2 linked regions of the Tribolium castaneum genome follow. The protein of the gene in region 2 interacts with the protein of the main gene of each other region in a pairwise test. Links are inferred from orthologs where the notes say so. Each region holds a gene or a part of one and is shown on either strand. Other genes may lie near its edges. The genes, in order: trafficking protein particle complex subunit 13 and proteasome subunit alpha type-7-1.

What was found.
Region 1: the proteins of proteasome subunit alpha type-7-1 (region 2) and trafficking protein particle complex subunit 13 interact in a two-hybrid assay, tested with the Caenorhabditis elegans proteins (3 studies listed by BioGRID). The link is inferred for Tribolium castaneum from reciprocal best matches to the Caenorhabditis elegans genes pas-4 and C56C10.7.

What each region holds. Positions count from the first base shown.
Region 1 is NC_087396.1:20,515,973-20,520,075, forward strand, and holds trafficking protein particle complex subunit 13, read right to left. Parts: upstream 2,366-4,103; 5' UTR 2,240-2,365; coding exon 2,206-2,239; intron 2,159-2,205; coding exon 1,780-2,158; intron 1,728-1,779; coding exon 1,513-1,727; intron 1,428-1,512; coding exon 1,201-1,427; intron 992-1,200; coding exon 891-991; intron 818-890; coding exon 559-817; 3' UTR 522-558; downstream 1-521. Other genes in the region: TTLL12 (tubulin--tyrosine ligase-like protein 12), read left to right, coding at 1-515; PIG-O (GPI ethanolamine phosphate transferase 3), read left to right, coding at 2,587-3,135, 3,184-3,464, 3,571-4,103.
Region 2 is NC_087398.1:3,892,487-3,895,395, reverse strand, and holds proteasome subunit alpha type-7-1, read left to right. Parts: upstream 1-1,268; 5' UTR 1,269-1,362; coding exon 1,363-1,464; intron 1,465-1,513; coding exon 1,514-2,161; 3' UTR 2,162-2,219; downstream 2,220-2,909. Other genes in the region: cGMP-dependent protein kinase, isozyme 1, read left to right, coding at 1-1,063. UniProt on the Caenorhabditis elegans protein: The proteasome is a multicatalytic proteinase complex which is characterized by its ability to cleave peptides with Arg, Phe, Tyr, Leu, and Glu adjacent to the leaving group at neutral or slightly basic pH.

The sequences.
Region 1 (4,103 bases), on a different chromosome or scaffold from region 2:
AGTTCGACATTCGTTACGTGATTCTGCTCAAAAGTGTGAAACCGCTGAAAGCGTACGTTTACAGGGAGTTTTTCGTACGTTTTGCGAACAAATCGTTCGAACTGAAGGACTTTCACGACTTTGAAAAACACTTCACTGTGATGAACTACGACGAAAACGTCCAGCTTAAGCACATGTTGTGTTCCGAATTTCGCATTTTTTGGGAGCAACAATATCCGAATTTTGATTGGGACAGTGTGCAAAAATTAATTTTGGGGGTTCTTAGGAACGTGTTAGAGGGGGCTGTTAAGGACGAGCCCCCTTGTGGGGTGGCCCACAGTCCGCAATCGCGGGCTTTGTACGCCGCTGATTTGATGCTGGAATGGGGGGAGTCCCGGGACATCCAGCCCAAATTGCTGGAAATTAACTGGACTCCAGACTGCCAACGGGCATGTCAGTATTATCCCGGCTTTTATAACGATATTTTCAAGCTGCTGTTTTTGGATGAAACGTCCGATGCGTTTATCGAATTGTAAAGTCTATTTTTGTTAAAGAAACAATTTATTTTAAATAAACTTATTAAATACTTTTTCCAACATTATCATTAACTATCACAAAGACTTGACCTAGATCGTCGTAGTTGTAAGTTCTTTTGAGGAACGTGTCGACTAATTTGATCCCGGAAAGGGTTCGCAGGCCCGGAATAAGGGGGATTGCTTTAAATTCTAAAACTCGGGTGGAGTGTGGTGGCAACACTTCTAACTTACGGCCAGAAATGCCACACCAAGCCAAGCCATCTGAGTTATCCAAATACATCATTAACTCAACACTTCTTTCGCTAAAATGCCAAAAACAATTTTAAAATCATAGCTCACGTTGCTGACAAATTAATGAAAGCACTTTATATTTACCAATTATTAACCAGCCGGCATTTGAACGCAAACAACTCTTCCAAGACTACGAAATTAGGTAATTCGGTAATCGATAATCTTATATCACCATAATCAGGTCCCTGAAAAAATTCGTTAGTGCAGTTTTTCACGCCAGTCAATTTGGAAAACGTTTAAGCACTTACGAACACAAAACAGCAAAACAATTATTCAAAGAATATTTTCAATAGCATTTGCTTAACTTTGCCTAAAGTATTTGAAGAATTTTCAATCTGAATTTTAAATAAATCATTACATTTAAATTATGTGGCAAGTTTTGAAAAAAACTTACCATTCTTTGAAGCTGACTTGTCTGCAACCTGCCCCTTTCGCCCAAATTCGACCTCCACACTATATCCAACTTGCCAATGTTTGTGGCCCCACTTAAACTCTTCAAATCGGAAGACAATTTTTCATTGGGTGATAGGCAGTACAAAAATTGGCAAACAGCTTGAGGGTTTAAAAGGGTTGTTTTGCCAAAAATGCTCTCACCTGTTGGTGTCACATTCAAGGACGTAACTGCAAAAATAACAAATGTGCTCTTAAATAAGTTGGCAACGTAATTTCACAAACATAGGTTGCTTATCACAATTAAAAAATGAACCTTTAAAGAGGTGGGACGCGTCCAAGGCCACCTTTTCCAAACATATGGGGCCTGTGGTGATGTTCTGCACCTGGGCCTCCAAATAAACATCGTCGTTTTCCGCATTGTAGAACTTCGTTTTGACGTCAAGCGGCTTAAGTACTTGAATTTTGAAAAATTTCCTGAACGATTTAAGAATTCCTACTGCGTTCTGATAAGACACTTCACACACCAAACTACAATTCAACCACTCGTAGTGAAAGATTGCACAAATAAATGCGACTTTACATGTGATTTCCAATTTCTTTGACCTCATGATGGATAACAATATTAACAGTGTCATCAGGGGTCAGTTGAGGGGTTGGAGGATTCGAGGATAAAGGCAATCGCTGAGAAGTGGTCTGCAAGTCCACTTTAACACTAACATTACTAACAATGTGTTGAGTCTCATTGTACACACAAATGTAGCTAGAAAACGTTTCGCCTAAATAAATATTAACTGGACTTTGAGGTAGCAGCAAAAATTGGCCTATAGACAACGTTTCGGTGCCTTTAACCGACGCAGCGTCCTGCTGAAGGGCAACATTTAGCAAATTACCGGGCAAGTCCTTGCTGTCGCAAGTCACTGGCAGAGGAGTGGCCAGAGTGGGGCGCGTAAGACGCATAACTAAAACCGCAGATATTAACCAAAAATTTGGTAACTCTCATTTGCACCTTTCAAAGCCAGTAAGTGCTCCTCTGGCTCCATTTTTAGCAAAATTAGGGGAGGTTATTTGTTTGGTTAAACGTCAGTCTGACAAGTTGGTGTGAACGGTCTACGGTCATAGAATAAGGTCTACGGTGGTTCGGACCTAATTTTTTGAATTAATTTGTTTGCCTTAGAAATTCGTATTTTCGTAAAATATGGTACAATTTTACAAATTTGCCGTGTGAGGCCAAACTTTTGGTCATTCCCATTTGGTCATAGTTAATGAGAGTAGACCAAAGGGAGTGAGTAGTTAAAGCGCCCAATGGGAGTGTGACATTTCAAAAGTTGGGTTAGTGATAAAATTATAAATTAAACCAAACGAGACTTTTCTAAATGACTTGTGCACAATGGGCAAACACTGGTGCTATTTCTTGTTCATGCTATGGTTCTCGTACTTGATAGTCTCGTCAATTTTGCTCTTTTCGCGCGGATTCCTCCTCTCCAAAAATGCCCAAACAACCAACTCCACTTGCCTCTCCCTGTCCGAGATCCCGTGCATTCACAAGGAATCGACGACTTTAAGTGCCCACGAACAGCAATGCAGTGCCGACACCAAACTATCCTATGTTTTTCAAAACATAAACAGCGCTTCGGATATTTGCTTGCCCCAAAGAGCGCGCGTTGTCTTCGTGATAATCGACGCTCTGCGGTACGACTTTGCACTCTATGACGAGAATTTAAAAAACCCTCTGCCGTTCCAAAACAAGCTGCCGGTTATAAACGAGTTGCTGAAGCAACAACCGGACAATTCGCGGCTGTATAAGTTCATAGCGGACCCCCCGACCACCACAATGCAAAGACTGAAAGCTCTAACGACGGGAAGTCTTCCAACTTTTATCGACGCCGGCTCCAATTTTGCCACGAATGAAATCAACGAGGATAATATCATTGACCAAGTTTGTAACTATTTTCAATAATTGTTTAAAATCACAGGAGAGTTTCAGTTGTTGAGGCACAACTTGAGCACGGTCTTGATCGGCGACGACACTTGGGACGGCCTCTACCCTAACAGATTTCTCAGGAAATACCCCTATCCCTCTTTCGATGTCTGGGATTTGGACACAGTTGACGACGGAGTCAATTTCCACCTTTACCCCGAATTGGCAAAAAATGATTGGAGTTTTCTGATCGCACATTACTTGGGGGTGGACCACTGTGGCCATCGCTACGGCCCCAACCATTCGGAGATGGAGCGCAAATTGACAGAAATGAACACCGTGATTGCGTAAGTTTGTACCACAAAAAATGATCACAAAAGAAATATTTTACCTAGTTTTTACTTTTCCTAACTCGCTTTTTTTTGCATTTATTCACCCAACTTTTGTTTCCAGGAGCATTGTGGAGCGACTAGACCCCAGCACAATGCTGTTCGTGATCGGCGACCACGGAATGACCGAAACCGGCAACCACGGGGGCGACGCCGACGACGAAGTCACCTCAGCCCTCTTCGTGTACTCCCACACCCAACTCTCCTCCCTCCACGCCTCCGCCACCGTCCGCCAAGTCAGCCTTGTCCCAACCCTTGCCTCAATTTTCGGCGTTTCGATCCCGTTCTCAAACCTCGGAACGGTAATCCTGGACGCCCTTCCGCTCCTCAACAACTCACAAGTGCCCGAATGGCAATGGTCCCTCTTCCACCTATGGGCAAATGCCCAACAAATGCTCACCTACATCGACCACTACGCCAAATCGGCCCCGGAAACCTTCAGCGACTCAACTTTGCAAAGCCTGCGCGAGAACTACGCCCTCCTGAACAGCAAACTCTTCCACGTCAGTGACCAACCCTCCTTTGCGACTTTCACAGAGGAGTGTTTGGTTTTTTTGGGGAAATTGCGCGAAACTTGCGAGCAAGTCTGGGTCCAGT
Region 2 (2,909 bases):
CCACTTCGGGAACATCCCTGATTGTTTCAGCATCAACGTCCAGACGCAGCCTTACAAGCCCATGGAGGAGATAATCGAACACACGGACCTGAATTTGTCCGATTTTCACGTTATTAGCACGTTAGGGATCGGGGGTTTTGGCCGAGTTGAGTTAGTGCAACACTCGGGCAAAAAAGAACTCGTTTTCGCCCTTAAATGTATGAAGAAATACGTAATTGCGGCCCAGAAACACCAAGAGCTCGTTTTCAACGAGAAGAACATTCAAATCGTTTGCAAAAACAATTTTATCGTGCGCCTGTACCGCACTTATCGGGACAAAAAATTCCTCTATTTTTTGCTAGAGCCGTGTCTGGGGGGCGACTTGTGGACGCACCTCTACAAGCAAAAACCCCGCTTTTTGGACGAAAACCACGCCAAGTTTTACACCGCGTGCGTGGTGGAGGCCTTTAATTACCTCCACGAACGTCTGATTATTTACCGCGACCTCAAACCCGAAAATTTGCTCATCGATGCCAAAGGTTACGTGAAATTGACCGACTTCGGCTTCGCCAAAAAATTAAAAATGATTAAAAAATGCGTCAAAAAAACCTACACGTTTGCGGGAACCCCCGAATACGTCCCGCCCGAAATCATGCTCAATCAAGGCCACGACAAGGCTGTGGATTACTGGGCCCTTGGAGTGTTCGTTTTTGAGCTTTTGACGGGTAAAACCCCCTTCCGGACCGACGATGTCACGTACATGAAGACCTACAAGTTGATTCTGAAGGGGATAGATGATGTCGAGTTTCCGAAACACGTGTCGGTCGAAGCTGTTAAGTTGGTCAAAGAGTTGTGCAAGTCGACGCCGCCCCAAAGACTGGGCTGTGGGAGCGGCGGCATTTTGGACGTGAAAGGGCACGAGTGGTTTGGGGGCTTCGACTGGGGGCGGTTTGAAGGGGGCAAAATGCCCGCCCCTTTCAGACCCAATTTAAGGACGAACATTGACGTGCACTACTTCGAGAAGTTTGGGGCCGACGAGGACGTGCCCCCCGATGTGGCCGTAGACTGGGATAAAGAGTTTTAGAATTTGAATTTCCCGGTTTGGGTAATTCATAGACGACTGTGTTTTTCGAGTCGGTGCCCACGCTTTGAAACCTTTATTTGCGATTATTAATTTACCAAACTCATTTATTTACTAGCATCAGTTAATTAGTTAATTAATAAAGACAATAATATGCAATTTTCCCGATCATTTGCACATCCCAGGCTAGTAACGGACTGGGCGACTGTAATTTTCGTGCCGGGCCGTCAAACGTCAATTTTCTCGCAGTTACAAAGCAAAATATTATTTAAGGTTAGTCGTTTGAAAGTTATTTAAAAGCGATGTCTGCGAGGTACGACCGTGCTATCACTGTATTTTCCCCCGACGGCCACCTCCTCCAAGTGGAGTACGCGCAAGAGGCCGTCCGTAAAGGCTCAACTGCGGTAAGTGCCCCTAACCTCAACCCCCATGACCCAGCGTTTGCGTTCCCAGGTGGGCGTCCGCGGGGCGAAGGCCGTGGTCCTCGGTGTGGAGAAAAAGTCCGTCGCCAAGCTCCAAGAAGAGCGAACCGTTCGCAAAATCTGCCTTTTGGACGACCACGTCGTCATGGCTTTCGCCGGCTTGACCGCCGACGCTCGCATTCTGATAAACCGGGCGCAGATCGAGTGCCAGTCGCACAAATTGACGGTGGAGGACCCCGTCACGCTGGAGTACATCACCAGGTATATCGCGGGTTTGAAGCAGAAATACACGCAGAGTAACGGGCGGAGGCCGTTTGGGATCTCGTGTCTGATCGGCGGGTTTGACTACGACGGGAAGCCCCATTTGTATCAGACGGAGCCGTCCGGGATTTACTACGAGTGGAAGGCGAACGCCACGGGGCGAAGCGCCAAGACCGTGAGGGAGTTTTTGGAGAAGTACTACACCCCTGAAGAGGTGGCGGAGGAGAGAGGCACGGTCAAGTTGGCCATTAGGGCGCTGCTGGAGGTGGTGCAGTCGGGACAGAAGAATTTGGAAATTGCGGTTATGAGACATGGGGAGCCTTTGGTGATGCTGGATAGTGACACGATTGAAAAGTACGTAACGGAAATTGAGAAGGAGAAAGAGGAAGAGGCGGAGAAGAAAAAACAGAAGAAATAGACTTTTTTAATTACTTATTGTGGTTCATAAACTTTTTCAATAAATTTTTTTCGCTAAATTGAGTTTATTTAACCAACCAAAGCCATGACGCAGGTGATTATTTGAATGACAAGGTGAATCGTAATTAATAAAATCTAAAGTTCTTCAAACACAATACACTATTAAAGTGTTCATGTTCAGGAGGAGATTATTTTTGAATCAGAAATTATAGTCAAGATGAAATAAAGCCGGTCAATCTCTAGAAGTTTATTTTTAAATAAATGTTAAATAATCTTGTACAAAAAAGGTACATAAATCTCTCTACGAATTCCTTATGACAAAGAACTCATAAAACAAGAATCACTAGAATGCACTCAAATTCCATCTAAAACGAATGAAAAAATGAAATGTTGATGAGAGAAACCGAATCGCGTCGTGTTGTTTATATGGTGCGATGTCATAAGAATATTAAGTATACATATTGAAACAATACACAAGTGCAAACACATAATATCATAATTATTACACAGCATTCAAGTTTTATTACATTTATAAGTTATAATAATTGGCACTGTCTCTCGAAACATGCACACGAAATCAGTCGTCCTCGTGACCCCTATATACATAACTCTACAACATAAGACGTTCTAGTGAGCTGAAAAATTATCAAAAATGTCCAGTAATATATTATATTATGGCAACATGGTACGCAGGTGCTATATCAAAACGATGTGATCTGTGATTTACTCCTATATACACATCACGCTTG